Oryza sativa Japonica Group: one gene and its partner. The protein of the gene in region 2 interacts with the protein of the main gene of each other region in a pairwise test. Links are inferred from orthologs where the notes say so. Each region holds a gene or a part of one and is shown on either strand. Other genes may lie near its edges.

Region 1 (8,262 bases), on a different chromosome or scaffold from region 2:
CCGTCGGGATTCGTCGCCGGAATTCGCATCCCCTCGTGCTCTGGTGAGTTCTACCTCTACCGCCGCCTTCGGCCATGGATGCCGGCCGCTGTGGTTCATCTTCCTCTCTCTAATCTCTCTCTCCTCCTTCCTTAGGGCACCCCGAAGCCCGTCTGCCGGTTGCCGTCGTCCTCCCGTGGCTTGCCGTCACCGTTCGCCGTCGTCTTCCTCCGCGCCGGCCACCCTCGGTGAGGCTTCCTCTCCCCTCTATTCCCCTCCCTCTCCTTCCTAGCCGCCGCTTAGCGCCGCCGCCTTCGCGTCGCCTTTGCGCCGTCGCCTCCGCCGCCGGTTGCCGTCGCCGGCAACGCGTTCGCGCGCGCGCGCCGTTGCCATCGCCGTGGCCGGTCGGCCGGCCTTGAGCCGAGCCGAGCCGGGTCGCCGCCGCCCGTCCGATCAACCCCGGGGGCGATCTGGGCCGTCGGTCCCGTGGACCGACGGTGGACCACCCGCGTGGTCCCGGTCCACGGTGGACCCCCCTTGAGCCGCTGCCGAGTGGGGCCCGCTTGCCGGCGCCCCTTTTCCCTCTCTCCCGAGCCGCTGACCGGTGGGCCCCGCATGTCGGCGCCTCGCCCCCCTTGATGACGTCAGTCCTGGGAATTATTACGCAATAAATGATTTAAGAACTTTTTGTTATAGTAATAAACACAGTGAATCTTCTAAAATTCATAACTAATTCATCCGTGCTCCGTTTAAGCCCATTCAAGTCTCAGTAAATCAAGAAAAATGTATAGAATCCATTAAAAATGGTTTTGTTCTCTGTTTCAGTAGTCTTATAGCCTGTTTGCAATGTTTCCCTTGTATGTCGCTAGATTCCGGTTCTTCCGACGCTTCGGTGTACTTCGAGATAGTCGCCGAGGTTTCTCCAGCAGCAGAGCAAGGCAAGTCATGCTTGTCACTTGAACATGTTGATCCTATATTGCAAATGCTCTATTGTTTTTCTTCAAATATTGCATTGTTTTATAATGTTACTATGGGGTGTTTACCTATTGTTACAGCCATGCCATTTTTGATACCATGCTCCTTTGTTAGCTTGGGTTATAACATGAATAGATTTTGGACTAGGAATTGCTTAGCCATGCTTAGTTCCACTAGCACACAATGGGGAAAGCTCACTAAAATATAGACTTTAGGTTCAATTGGTAAGGTTGGTTTAGTACCACCGTTTTGGTGTTGGTTAATTAAAATGAATCACATGGTGGGCTGTGGGTGCATGGTTTTGCTAGTCGCACCCATGGCAGTTAAGGACCGGTTCGCGGGATGCCCTGGAAGAACTTATCGTACTTACCACAAGCCAGCGTGGGCAACGGCTGGGCTTGTAGTGTAGCTTTCCTCTAGCTGACGCATCCAGGCAAGGGTGGGCGTGATGGAGCGGGGCGGGCCCTGCGACGGCCTCTGTCGCTTCCGGATTCACCTAGGCACGAGAGGGGACTGCCCGCTGCCTTGCGAGGAGTGGGGGTGAAACCTGAGGTGTGGTGTGCTTGGTTAGAGGGGGTTATGCGAAGGGTCCTGTCACGGCCTCTTTCCGGTATGTCGTGGTGGCATGTCGGCGCACGGAAACGTGTCGTGGGGCTGTGTCTTGTGGGTACAGTTGTACACCTCTGATCAGAGTAAAACTATTCGAATAGCCGTGCCCGCGGTTATGGGCGCTCAACCAGATTCACCGTGATTAGTCTTACCCTAGTTTAGTCTAATGAAATTGGATAGTATAGATGGATGGTTGGGCCTGTTGCAACGTGGGATAGCGTTGGACAGCGGATGATCAATATTAATTAATTATTGCAACTGTTTAATTCTTTCAACTTCTGTTTATAAATACTCGCTTTATGCAAATGAACCACTCTAGCTCTCCTTTGATAATTCCCTGCATCATACCCCTATTCCGGTATGACTTGCTGAGTACAGTGGGTAGTACTCAGTCTTGCTCTATTTTTTCCCCAACCCCAGAGTACGAGTATGTGTCAGATGGAGGTTTCTCCGAGGAGTAGGCTTCGTCCGTACCGTCGAGGATGCCTGTGGAGTGGTATTCCCGCTGCAGTTCTAGTCAAGGCTTAGCTCCTGTTGTCTTTCGTTTTTCCGCTGCATTTATGTAAGACTTTTATAATGATTGTAAGACGTGGATCTGAATGTCAACATTGTCGTTTGTGTACCCTGGCCGGTCCTGGACGGGGATTTTAATGCACATTCTGCTTGGAATTTTATTCGGGAATTTCTAGGCGTGACATGACGCGGCCGACGAGCTCCGACCGGCGCAGATCGGGGAGAAAGACGGCATCGGCACTTCTCCCCTCCCTCCCCCTTCTTCACCTCTTCTCTTGTGGGCCCAAAAGCTGCACTTTTTACGAAGAACGGGGAGCCATTGTCTCCCCATCTTGGCGAGGCTCCTTGCTATGCTAGGTGGAGGGAATCTTTGAGCTGATTCGGTGAGGGAGAATGACAACTAGTTGTATTGTGAATGACCTAAGTGCTAGACCTTGTAATAAGGCTGCGTTCGGCAAAGTGAGTTGCTAGCTCCACCTCATTTGTTTTCTGCGTACACGTTTCCTGAATTGCTAAACATTGTGTTTTTTATGAAAAAATTTCTATACGAAAGTTGCTTTTAAAAATCATAGTGATTCATTTTTAAACTACTACTTAATTAACTATATGCTAATGAGTCGCTCCATTTTACGTACGCAAGGGATTAACTTGCATCTCAAAGCTGTAAAACACAACCTAAGGACTTCTTAGGCTGTCTTCTTTCCTAGGTGATCTGGGTGATTGTGAGTGAGTTTTGTTTCGTTTTCCGCGCGCACGTTTTCCGAACTACTAAACGGTGCGTTTTTTGCAAAAAAAAAATTCTATAGGAAAGTTGCTTTAAAAAATCATATTAATTCATTTTTGAAGTTTAAAATACTTAATAGTCAATTAATCATATGCTAATGACTCACCTCGTTTTGTGTATCTTCCCAATCTCCTCTATCTCCTCTCCTCAAACACAGCCTTAGTAGCTCAATAAAAATTTACAAGTTGCAGGATATTTTTTTACTTGTTTTGCTGATATAATCTCGTCAACGGATAACATCAACCAAACAAACGGACAAATATTTCAAAAACGGTCTTACCATCAAACACTTCTGTTGCGTACACACCACTGACAGAGTAGCAACGCACCAAACACTTCCATCGTCATTAGCTGCTAAAGTCCTAAACTAAACCATCAAAACAACTGCTTCCGATCTTTTCAAAGTCCAAATCACAAATCCGCAAGCAAATCCCACCTCTCACGCCCATAAAAATTCGCCCCAAAAAAGCTAAAACTTCGTCCAAAATTCAGGAAAATTACTTGAAAGCGTGACGCGGACACGTGGCGCCTCCGTAGTGGTCGAGAAACCTGAGCAAGGCCTACTGGATAAGAAAGATGGGAAGATCCCATCCCTCCAACCCCAAGCTTGTATAGCCTTTTCTCCTCTCTCTCGCGCACGCGCCTTTTTGCGCCTAATTTACCGTTTTACCCCTCGCCGGCGGCCGCCGCACTCCGGCGAGAGAATCGGCAGCAGGTGGGCGGGGGACTCCACGATGGCGGCCATATCTTCGCTTCCCTTCGCGGCACTGCGCCGGGCCGCCGACTGCAGGCCGTCGACGGCGGCGGCGGCGGCGGGGGCGGGGGCGGGGGCCGTCGTGCTCAGCGTGAGGCCCCGGCGGGGGTCGCGCTCGGTGGTGCGCTGCGTCGCCACGGCGGGCGGTGAGCTTGCTCGCTCGCGCTCTCTCTGTTTTTTTTCTCTCACTCACTGGTGCTTCTGGCGTCGGTGATGAACACGTAGTGGTAGTGCGTTCGATTGCGACAGAAGAGCTTCTCTTTTTGCGTGGGGGTTTCACTAGCAAAATCTGGATCCTGGTTCTTCTTGGGGATGCTGCAAGATTGTTTGTGGCGGGGACTACAAGCCAATCTAGCGTCCTATGTTTGGAGGAAGAACTGGCAACTGTGATTTTTGGGTGAACAATTAGCATTTGTAGTTGTGTATCCATGCGGTTTTGATGCTTGGTTATTCTTTCTAGCAGGGAATTCATGTCTGTTTTAGATGCGAGCTTGGGAATTTTTTTAGAATTTCGTATCACTAGTTTAGCCATATGTGATTTTCAACAATCTAGCTGATTTTGATCCACAAATAGCGAAGGGTAGGACTATTCAGTTGTGTATTTGTTTTTTGCCGGGTCGGCGAAGGAGCCGACCAAATTTCATTAAGAATGAAAGGAGAGTTTACAAGTTTACACGACATTAAACTGTCGAGCCGGGGAGACCCCGGAGCAGAGAAACAGGATCAGTTGTGTATTTGCGCCAATCATCTTATGTTAGCCAAACCTCACAAGCCCTGGTTAGCTGTTCAGGCCTATGATTCCTGCTTTTCTGTTGAATTGTGGCAGTAAACTGCCAAATGCTTCCTTGTAGAACGATTTGATGCGTTTACATATTTCCGCTCATTTCGTTCCACAGTTTCTTCATGGTGTTCTGTTGCTTCTGCCCCCTTTCCTGTCAACTTTCTTCAATTCATCGAGCAAGTGCCGATTACTTGTCAAGTATTTGATACTGGATCATTGTATGTCCAAATGTTTTCAGTTATTATGATCACAAAGGCAGCAACTAACTTATAACATATTGTACACAGCATGATGAACAAGTTATCGCCACAGCGTTTTTCACTTGTTCTGAATATTGTGCAGATGTTCCACCCACTGTCGCAGAAACAAAGATGAATTTTCTCAAGTCATACAAGCGTCCTATCCTAAGCATTTACAGTACAGTTCTACAAGAACTTTTGGTACAGCAACATCTGATGAGATACAAAACAACATATCAATATGATGCGGTGTTTGCTCTTGGTTTTGTGACCGTCTATGACCAACTCATGGAAGGGTACCCTAGCAATGAGGATAGGGATGCAATCTTCAAAGCATATATAACAGCGTTAAACGAAGACCCTGAGCAATACAGGTGCCTACTGTAACTTACAACTGTTTTTTATTCACAGTGATGTTAGCATCTTCTTGTTTTATATTCAATTAGATTTCTCATAACCAAATTGAACCTTCAAACAATATCCTACACTTAATTGATCCAAGTAATTTTTTTATAGATTTATATAATTCACAGCCATGAATTTTCAGCATAAATATTACCCCCAATTCGTTGAATTCATATGTCAACCATAGCCTTTTCCTATAGAGATAGTAGCAATTATCTATCTTGCCGCTGTAAAAAATGTCACATTTTGCACTATCTATTTGTTGCATGCTTTGCTTATTTGTGGATCACCAATTATCTGCTTTATTTGCGTCAATGAAAGCTAATGTATTATTGGGTTACTAGTTTGTTTTGGCATCAACAGAGGTGTCTTTCCAAGCAATCATAGTAAGTGTTTTCTGTTCTTTCTTCAGAGCTGACGCACAAAAGATGGAAGAGTGGGCTCGTTCCCAGAATGGTAATTCTTTAGTTGAGTTTTCATCCAAAGATGGAGAAATAGAGGCCATTCTGAAAGATATTTCAGAAAGGGCCCAGGGTAAGGGAAGCTTCAGCTACAGCCGGTTCTTTGCAGTTGGCTTGTTCCGTTTGCTTGAGCTTGCAAATGCAACAGAGCCAACCATACTAGACAAGGTTGTTATTGCCATTAATAATTTTGTTTCTGACTATCATACTTATTTTTGCTTCACTTCCAAATTATATCTTCTAATAACGCTTATGTGTGTTTCTCAAGTTATATTTTAGAGAGCATGTTTCCAATACATTTTAGTTTTCGCAGAAAGAAAGGATTTATCTCAAATCAATTAAGGGGTTGGCTTGTGTCTGCTGTCTAATATCTTGCAACCACAGCTGGTTAAGTGTCTATGCGGTGTTCTTTTTAACCTACTACTTCGCTGATATGCTAGATTACTAGTAAAGGACTAAGTCTGACTCTATTCCATCCTACAGCGTACGGGCCTGTTTGGCACAGTTCTAACTCCAGTTCCGCCTCTCCTGGAGTTGGAGCCCAGCCAAATAGTTCAACTCCACCTAAAATGGGAGTGGAGCTGGGTGGAGCGCTCTCACAAAATGAACTAGAGAGGTGGAGCTTGGGTTTAGGCAGCTCCACAACTCCACTCCGAACCCAACTCCTAGAGTTAAATTTTAGGAGTTGGAGCTCTACCAAACATGCCCTCCATACCTATTGACTAAGCCTCTGACTCGACTCCATCATACTTTCCTATTGACTAAGCCTCTTACTCGACTCCATCATTCATTCCTATCACTTCAGAACCACAGCTCCCACCTCTAAAATCTAACTACCCTAGCTGAGTGCGCACGAACTGCTTTCCTAAATATTTCTCCTCAAACGTTGAGGTTAGCAAATGTTCTAATCGTTATGGCATGTGATCAACTGACAATTCAAGTTTGTGATGGTTTCTATTATTTATGATGTTTCTTAAGCCAGAATAGGAAATAGCACTAAGGAGGTTCGAGTTCAGTTTTGGCTTCTAACTTAGTACCAATGTTGGGGGCATATCTGGACTTTTCTGTGGGAGGACTCATTGGAGATAGGGAGATTCCATACAGGATAAAACTCCAAAAGCATTCTTGAGGCATTCTAGTATAGTACAAGTCAAGTAATTTTTTCAGTGTCCAATGATAATTTCAGGAAACATTTAAGCCAGTTATGTTTGTCATTTGGTGAACTCAAAATGTAATGTGCACTTTGATGTTACCTACTTACCTCACTAATATTTTCAATGGCTTCCTTGACAGCTTTGCGCTGCTCTAAACATCAACAAAAGAAGTGTCGACAGGGATCTCGATGTTTACCGGAACATACTCTCCAAATTGGTCCAGGCTAAGGAACTTCTCAAGGAATACGTGGAAAGGTAACCAACTTATCCGCTGATTTCCCACTTCTCTTACTGCCCAAACCCTGATTTGTTCAATCACTGATATTACTAACGCACGAGGGATGTTCCTAATTTTATTTTGCAACAATTGTGTGATATTAATAGCTTTATACTTGAAGTTTACTGTTTAGCACATAAATCTCTCCTCTTTCAATGAGCCCAGGCAAATGGATTAGTTTATATTGCCTTCTCTTTACATTTTGTATCCTCCCCAGTTTTTCTGTGTTAAACTGATCATCTCAACGAGTTGAACTCAACTTTGTTGGCAGGGAAAAGAAGAAGAGAGAGGAAAGATCAGAGACCCCAAAATCGAATGAAGCTGTTACGAAATTTGACGGGAGTCTCAATTCCATGAGGCATTAACTCAAGCCTTCATAAGGGGAGTGAGTGCTACCGTGGATAACAGATTTTAACAGAGTTCTGGATCACGTTGAGAAACTATCAAGGTCACCTTTCACTGCACGGACACTTTGGCTGCTCTCGTGTGGTTTTGTATTCTGCCGTATAAAAGGATCCAGATTGTTCTTACTACTGAGCATTATATTTTTTTTGTAATTCTCCTTTTCAGTGTTCAAATGTATCGTTTTCCTTTTCTTTGACAATATATGAAGAGGTATGTGGGGATCAATGTTACTCACAAGATGAAAAATATATTGTTCAGTTATCTCTTCATGATGAAAATGAAATCGGTCACAAGTTCTTTCTTTGGATCTGTATGTATCAGGAATATCAGTGGTGGAAACGAGCAGGAAGACTTTTCTGCATTGGATCATATGCCAGAAAATCTAGGACTTGTTTGGTTGGGTTCTAGCTCTAGATTCTTGTTATGTGGAGCAGGAGCCAAACCAAACACTCCTAGATCCTCCTAAGAGTGGAGTGGATGGATCTGCTTCACAAAATATATATGAAGGGTGGAGCTACCATTTTCTAGTTTCACAACTTCAGCTCCATATTAAGTTTTTTTTTTTAGCTCCATATTAGACTTAGAGCTCTACCAAACAAGTTAGTAATCTGTAAATAAAATGTACCTTACAACCTACCAGAAATAAATTGCCCTAAATAATCCAAGAATACTTTAAGTTAATTGAAACATTAGCCGTTTGCATGTCCATCCAACATGACAGAAATTGAAGCAATCCTCTCCCAAATTTGAACTGCATGAATTCAAACGGCAATGGCGTGGCGATTCTAAAACTTATAGATTTCTTTTTCCCTTCTTGGATGCCATCTTTTCAAATAACTCGCCTTCAACTGAATTGATTGGCAAATAGAACTCTTAATCTTGGCAGTGTATATCCATAAGTGGATATAAAGTCCGGATTTCTATCC
Region 2 (8,098 bases):
TTGCAGAGATGGATGCATGCAGACCTCAAAACATCTTTGCTTTAAAACCCAGTCAAAGAGTTCCTTGGTCTCCATCATTCTGTTTTTTGTCTCATCTTCAAATAGCATCTGATCATATCTGAAATGAACAAGAAGCCTATGAGAAGAACTTAGCAGATTAGGATAAGTTCAACAATCAAAAAAATTGTACTTACTCGCTAATGGCAGCACAAAAGATTACCGCATTAACACCTTCAAAAAGATGAATCCACTTTCTCCTCTCATTCCTCTGGCCTCCTACATCATACAACCTATATACCTCTCCACCTCTTTTGTTTTCTCCAACAGGACTGCAGAAAGAAACCCAGTTAACTAGATGATTCAACTCATCTTAAAACAGCTACATTCAGAACCTCTCAGGTCATATCTTAGAAGTGAAAGGGGAGAAAAAAAGGACTTCAACTTGTCGTTCTGTACATAGTAGAGCAACCAGCAAAAAAATGTGCAAAAAATAGTGTCAGCAGATTACCTAAATTGTATTTGTACAACACCATTTGTCCGTACTCTTGCATAAAGCACATCCTCCTGCAAAATGACTCATAATATTGACAACTATAATACTGCAAGCATTCTTAAGTATGGAAGATCAACTACCAGCCTTTCAAACGAACCATTAGACAAGGTACAATCACAAATTATCCATCAGACTGCTAAATGCAGAAATATGGAGTCATATCTTCACTTAGCACACACAATGTTAATTGGAATTTTGATGCAGTGTGGACTTAAACAAGTGACAAACAATTTTCTATGCTTAAGAAATGACGGGAAATGGTTGCAAAAGTGGATGGTACAGTGATCATATTTGTGGTTTGCAACTTATTGAAGGAACTGAACAAAAAAAATATATGCTAGTGTCATAAGATTAATATGTGGGAACTCAAAAGCTCAAGGTGCTTAGATAAGTAGAGTTTTATTCACAGCAGTTTTGCACCCTATGTTTCACAGGGACATTTTTTACCTTCGTTATGTAGACTGCGTAATAACGGTAGAATAATAGTTTCTCCTCCCTAATATTGAATTTTAAAGGATAGCCTCCAATATTATTTAAAAGATAAGGATAAACATATGCCCATCTTTTAAAACTATTTGGCAACCTCTGACTCAGTACACATAGTTAACCATTTGACAACCTCTGACTAAGTAGACTAAAAATCAACATGAAATGGTGTCAGCACAAATATCTGAGAATATGTAAATAATTGTCTATGAACATGGACAGCACACCTTTGTTGGCACATAACCTGCTTCAGCTAATCGATCCAAATTTTCCATGAAGTATTGTGCACAATCAGGAAGTTGCAGAATACTTCCACGTAAGTAAGTTTCCTACAGTATAGAGCATTGCTTCAGCACACCTGGCCAGGAAAACTATATAACTTCAAAAGATTTGAATGGCTATTTGTTTTCACCTGAATGGCTGGGTCTTGCCATAACCTTTTTACATCGAGTACAAGTTCTTTGTTCAGCAGTGGATAATCCAACCTGCCATCAATATCTGATAGTTTTTCTCCAATTTCCTGATGATATGACAAAGTAAATGACATCTAAGAAACAAAATTGGTTGGTAAGGTGTACAGTGTGAAACTGGTGATATTTGTCTTTCAATGCCTAAGAAAAGTCAGTTTTCCTTTAAAGTTCCAAAGCAACGGAACAAGGTAAATGCACAAAGGTATACTTTTTTTAACCTGGTTGAGAAAAAAATTGAATCTTATAACACCCACATTTGATACCAAGTTATTTTTAGCATATCAACAATTGTCTGAAGCAATCAAATAAACAAGGAAGAATAAATGTTACAAAATCTCATTGTTCTTTTCTACTTTGTTCAGTACATTGTACGGTTCAATAGATATCTTTTTCAAGTTTTCATTATAGAATGACCGTGTAAAATATAAGACTACAATAGAGCCGAGCACAGTCTACAAGGTCTTAACAGGTTAAAACATAGAGCCGAGCAGCTTGACTACAACAGAAATGTTGCAAATCAAAATGTTTGTATTCCCAGATTTAACAAGACATGTTCATATGCACAGATTTAGCTTTAACTGTTGAGTAAAGAGTAAGCACAAACCTGGTTATCTGGGGATATAACATACTTTGAGGAATCTGATTCCACTTGTGAGAGTTCTTTTGCTCCTTCATATAGTATCTGTTAACATTTAACACATTACTCGACAAAAAGGAAAAGTATGAACGCATTTCCTTATGAACAGAATACAAATCCCTAGTCGAATCTCCTACATAATCCCCACTTTGCAATAAGAAAAAAAAGACACACCCTTTCCAGTATTGCATACTTTAATTGTCTGATAGACGTTTGCATGGATAACTGATGTGTAGCTCCTAAGTTCTGCCTCATCAAAGCCAGTTTGGAAAAGGAGCTTAATCTGCAGGTGAACAGTAAGAATACATCAGACTAACTAGCGGCGTACGGATTATGATTCTCCATGGAATATAACATTCATCACCTGTTTAAATATCGTAGACTTCCCTGATTCTCCCGCACCTTAAAACAGAAGCAATTGAGAGAGAGAAAGAAGGATGGATCCACATTGAGAACAAGTTCAAACTAAAAATTTCTAGGATACATTTATTTATCTTCTTTTTTTTTGGAAATAACATGAGAAAGGTTTTTTTATAGAGGTAAATAGGAACAACATAAACAATTAATTTTCTGAACCAATAGATACTAAAGGTAGCACAGATAATTGTGACAAGGAAAATGACCACTTAAATTTGGGAAAGTTAGCAATACCAAGAAGTAAGAGCTTGTGGATGTGTTGCTCTGCTTTTGTCTCTTGCAAAATTCGCCTGTCAATGTCTGCAGACTGTTACCAGCTGAATTAGAAGAAACCAAATGTGGCAACTCTCAAATCAAGAATTGAGTTAGCATTTACTTGTTCAATAAGTCCGAGTGCTAACTTACTTTTGCATTTTTGGTTGTTTCAGCCTCACTTAAAGAATGAGATCTGCTACAGGATGAGCCCATGTTATCAAGCACACAGGTAAGCACGGACATTATTTTAGAGGTATGCTCTCATGCCTGAGCCTCTCTCTTTCCAGGAAGCACGTTGACGTCTAGATCTCAGGATCCATGAGCTGCATACATGAGCAGTAAGCTCGAGCGAAATGTGGCCAGCATTTGAAAAGAAAAGATTGTACAGAGTAATGGTTTGCATAGTTCAATATTGCTGACCCACATTGTTATACATATCCAGAAATATTATATGAAGGAAAAACATTAGTAACCATTTTCCGACCAGGATTCATTTCCGACCAGGATCCATTTCAATCACTGACACTTAATAAATAATACGTGAAAATATTTAGAAATACATCAATATCATTGTTTAATAATAATACATCAACATCATTGTTTATTAATAATATTTTTCCTTGCGACGGTGGGGAATGGGGGCAAGGAAAGGGAAGGTGGGGGGATTGGATGGTTTGAGTGACTCGGGGAGGGAAGTGGAGCGAAGCCTCCCGGGAGATAAGATTTGCGCAGAGGCACGCGTGGCCTACGCATTGGCACCGCTGGCCTCCATTTGGGCCGTCGGCTTCACATCTGACGGGGTTGGTGTCGAGGGCTCGGGGCCCCGGTTTTTGCGTTTTGAGGGAAATGCGTTCCATATGTTTCCGACGAGGAGTATTCCAGAATAATACCTACTACATTTTTTATTTCTTTTGATGAAAGTAGGTAAGGTGTCTATTTTGATTGGTAATAAAGAACATAGTTTACATAAATATTACATATGCTCTAGCAGATAAATAGTTAAAACATAACGATTTTTTACCATAACGGTGGGGGGAGCCAAACTAGAAATTAAGAAATTAGGAGTAAACATTAACCAAAAGTGCATTCTATTGTTATTAGATTGTACTTGGCATATATCATTTTGTTTTTTTATTCCAAACTATAGTTGATTTGAATTTACTAATTACCTAATTTAAATATCTATATTATTAGTCTAAATTATTTTTAAAATTAAAAATATTAAAATATTACAGATATATCACAATGTTTTAGGGACGGGAAGACAAAGTACGTTCAATGGTTTCAATTTATAACCTGATAAAGAAAGAATGTTAAATTAGATTCATGCCAAGTGTCACAGTATGTCCTTTAGAAAATTTTGTGGAATAAAAATTACTTATAAGAATATACCTTGATAAAAAGATATTTTGTGTGACTATGGGTAGTTTGTGGTCTAGATTCTTCTTAAGAAATTTATGTGAGTTTGGATGAGTACAAATTATGTGAGCTTACATTTTTCGTTCTAAGGGTGTTTGGATGAGATTCAATAACCAAATTACATCTGCTAAAAACGGAAATCAAAATTAACAACTTGAAAGTAGGTGGAGCTGGGCAGAGGCAGATCTAACCCTGTTTCGGTTGAACCCCCAAACTTTTTGAGGGATAACGCAGAATACCTGATGAGGTGTGGGTAGGGAGGGATGCTCACCGGCGAGCGACGATGCGGTGGAAGAAGGAGGACGCCGGGCGCCACCTCTGCTCGCAGGATGGGGATCGGCGCAAGCGGCGGGCGAGGAGACGAAATTCGAGGCCGAGGCCGGATGGGATGGATTAGGATGCGAATGCGGCGGGAGCAGGAGGACGCCGGCGCCACCTCTGCTAGCAGGATGGAGATCGGCGCCAGCGGCAGGCGAGGAGACGGGAGTCGAGGGCGGCGGGCGAGGAGACGGGACGGATTGGGGAGGCGGAGGTCGTGCAGCGCTCTGCTGCCGCGTTGTCGCCTGCCTATGGGTCATATGCACAGGCGCCTCATCTCCCAAAAAAGTTCATCTAAGGTCCCTTATCTTGTCGTTGAGTTTTAAACGGCCCTGAACCCCTAATCTTGCAAAACGGTCCACTTTTAATCCCAAGGTAGTATTGCTTTCCGGTTTTGTTGACGTGGTGGCTGAGTCAGTGCAGGGCCCACGTGGAACCCACAAGCCAACTAGCAATCTTCTTCCACCTCACTCCCCTCTACTCCTATCTCAACCCAAACCTCTAGGGCATTCGCCAATGGGTGGGGAGAAGGGTGTCGGTTGGCAGGGAAAAGCTCAACGGCGGAGGCCGCCAGCTGACGTGGCTCCTAATGACCGGGAGCGCTCACGTCATGGACTTGCGCACGTGCGGGGTGTGGCGGGTCCCAACTACAACTGCTCGCCTTCTCCCCACCCATCGCCAGGCGCCGTCGTCGGGCACCGGCCACCACACACCTCTCCCACGATTCAGCGTCCTCTTCACATACAACTGCTCGCCTTCTCCCCACGCATCGCCAGGCGCCGTCGTCGGGCACCGGCCACCACACACCTCTCCCACGATTCAGCGTCCTCTTCGCTCCATGACGCAGCCGTCAAGAGCCCAGGGTGACTCACACCTTCCCTCCCTCGTGGGCCAAAGTCGGGAGGATGTTTGCATCCATATTCGATCGAGGGAGAAACCTCATTTTCTCCAGCAGCCGAAACATGCCAACTCCCGCCCCCCCGCAGCTGGGGTAACAAGCTCACGCCACCGAGCTCGCCAGGAGCGATGCGAGCGCGTCGTCTTTTATGCCGGTGTCAGTCGTCATAGATTTTCCATGTGGTACTAAAAACTTCGTTTTTGTGCGTGACAGTTGCGCGTAGAATATGTATGGGCTTTGCACGCACGCCGGCCCGAAGTCTCGAAATTATCCAGGATCATCATGCGCCGTCCCTCGTGAAGGCCGCCGCCGCCGGGTCCGTCGCCGGCGAACAGCGTGGCCACCGCCATAAGCCACCCGCTGATCCGCCCATGCACAACAGCCCATCCTGTTGCAGCCACTCCTCGCCGCCGGCACAACCACCACCACCGGGCTTTCTCACCGACACCACCGGCGACGGCAGCGGCAGCCTGACGGCCAATGTTCTGCACAATGTCAATCTCCTGCATATCAATCACACTCCCAACCCTGAAATGGTGGAATACCTGCTAGTATTCCACTGCAGATCAAACACTTTCCTTTGGTTGGCTTGTAGAGTAGAGATAGGGTACAGTCTGCAAACAGAATTGGTTCATCGGCACTGGATATAGGATACAGCTTGCATTGCAACAGAGTTTGCAGAATGCATGGCTTTACTAAAGAGGGATCACCCTTACAATTTTTGCGCTGTTTTATTGGACTGAAAATTAACACAAATCAATGTACCCAGTGACTTGCCATCAGCCAAGCAGCTGTCTTTTCGGTTTCCAGATTGGATTCGGGTAAAGTTTAAGACTCCGGAAGCAGGAATTTTAGGCACTGTATTGCCATTAGATAATCGGGTGGATAATATACATATTGGTTTGCCAAACACTTGGAACAGGCCACAAATTTCGAGTTAACTTTTATTTGATTGAGGATTTCACAACCGGTTTATACAAGGTCTAGTACCCAAGAGAATAATAGCGTACTGAACAAACAAAGGGACAGGAAAGAACAAGGGCTGCTTCTGTCAAGAACCATGGTCACTTGAACATAAATGCAAGGTGAGATAAAACGATAATGGCGTTAGAAGAGGGAAGGAAGAAATGATCAGAAGCAGCAGGCTACTGGCATTGACACTTGATGGTGTTAACGATAATGTTAAACAAGTCGACACGAAAAAATCACTACTACTCCTACTCCTAAGCCTCAGTGAAGGAGGAAACGGAGAACATCTCTCTCGCATTGCAGTAAATGGTACTGCTGGTGCTGGACTCCTCACGTTTCTCAGCTGTTGAACGCTGGAGGTAGAACAGTAGTAGCACTGGTAAACAGTGGAAGTAAAATTTCATTTATGGATTATTAATTTGCTATTAAAGGACAGTTTAAACTGATCTAAAGCCAAGCTAACATGGTGAACTTTTGTGGCTAACGCAAGTATGGAAGGGTTGCCATACAATGTACAAGCTAACATGAACGTTATTGAAGCTGAAAAAACTATAATGTAATACTCCTATATCCTACTGACATGTCTGCACCATATATTGATCCATGAGACTCATTCCTGACTGGCCTTTTACTGGCACATGCATGGAACAATCAGCTTAAAGTTAACAGTCAGCTATACTGCATTTAGCTGCACGCCTGCACTACAACAGATTTTGCAACTGCCATTACATTGGCTAATAGAGAAAGCTAGCATACAGTTGAAAACCAAACGGAACAAACCCCCAACGCTTAAGAGCACATGAAAACCTGCTGCCAAAACTTTGATGTTACAGCTTACAATAACAATCAGAATGGTCTGGTGCTTCTGCGACAAACAAATGTTTCAAAACTCGTCCCTTTTGCACCATTAAATATTTCTCCCTAGGCCTTTCAAAATTGTGAAAAAGTATTATGAAAAATAGACTAATAAGCTCGCCTAAAAGCATATGACAAGCTACTGTAAAACACCATCCGTTTTGGTGTTTTGGATGGAACTAGATTTCTATGGCTTAAAAATGAAGTTACAGACATGAGAATTCACAGTTCCCACCGATGGTACGGCGCAGCATGAGCGTACAGTTTGTGAAGTGATTTACCAGTTCATGCTCACTTAGTCACTGCAATTTGCGTTAAAATTGCATATTGCCAAAGCATTTTGTCCAATGAAGCCTCATGGAATTATCTCCTGCTGTTTGCTGTTTGAGCCTTGTTTAGGTTTGCAAGTTCTTCAATCAGCTTCCTCTCGTCGCTGCTCAGACGCTTTGGAATCTCGACCTGCACACGCACTAGCTGGTCTCCACGAGCATTTGACTTCCCGAGGAGTGGGACACCTTTCTTGGACATCACTAACGTTGTGCCTGGCTGGGTACCGGAGGGGATCTTCAGGTCAACCATCCCATCAACAGTGGGAACCTTGACGGTTGTCCCAAGAATTGCGTCAATATATGAAACTTTGCATGTGTATAGAATGTTTGTCCCATCTCGCTTAAGAACAGGATCAGAGAGAACATCAATAAACACATAAAGATCTCCAGGAGGGCCTCCTCTCCGCCCAGCATTCCCCTCAGACCGGACCCTCAATCTGCTTCCAGAATCAACACCAGCAGGAACCTTTAGACTGATCCTTTTTGTCTTCC

Evidence for each region.
Region 1: the proteins of guanine nucleotide-binding protein alpha-1 subunit (region 2) and protein THYLAKOID FORMATION1, chloroplastic interact in binary tests that used the Arabidopsis thaliana proteins (3 or more experiments, as listed by UniProt). The link is inferred for Oryza sativa Japonica Group from reciprocal best matches to the Arabidopsis thaliana genes GP ALPHA 1 and PSB29.

What each region holds. Positions count from the first base shown.
Region 1 is NC_089041.1:22,547,736-22,555,997, reverse strand, and holds protein THYLAKOID FORMATION1, chloroplastic, read left to right. Parts: upstream 1-3,475; 5' UTR 3,476-3,594; coding exon 3,595-3,760; intron 3,761-4,737; coding exon 4,738-5,008; intron 5,009-5,451; coding exon 5,452-5,668; intron 5,669-6,793; coding exon 6,794-6,909; intron 6,910-7,202; coding exon 7,203-7,296; 3' UTR 7,297-7,637; downstream 7,638-8,262. UniProt on the Arabidopsis thaliana protein: Involved in a dynamic process of vesicle-mediated thylakoid membrane biogenesis. Required for the normal organization of vesicles into mature thylakoid stacks and ultimately for leaf development.
Region 2 is NC_089039.1:15,699,833-15,707,930, forward strand, and holds the start of guanine nucleotide-binding protein alpha-1 subunit, read right to left. Parts: upstream 4,851-8,098; 5' UTR 4,509-4,850; intron 3,142-4,508; 5' UTR 3,062-3,141; coding exon 2,969-3,061; intron 2,871-2,968; coding exon 2,798-2,870; intron 2,549-2,797; coding exon 2,511-2,548; intron 2,430-2,510; coding exon 2,340-2,429; coding exon of another isoform or gene 2,321-2,339; intron 2,192-2,320; coding exon 2,114-2,191; intron 1,560-2,113; coding exon 1,452-1,559; intron 1,369-1,451; coding exon 1,267-1,368; intron 565-1,266; coding exon 509-564; intron 330-508; coding exon 195-329; intron 119-194; coding exon 25-118; intron 1-24. Other genes in the region: chaperone protein dnaJ A7A, chloroplastic-like, read right to left, coding at 7,641-8,098. UniProt on the Arabidopsis thaliana protein: Exhibits a fast rate of basal nucleotide exchange. Guanine nucleotide-binding proteins (G proteins) are involved as modulators or transducers in various transmembrane signaling systems.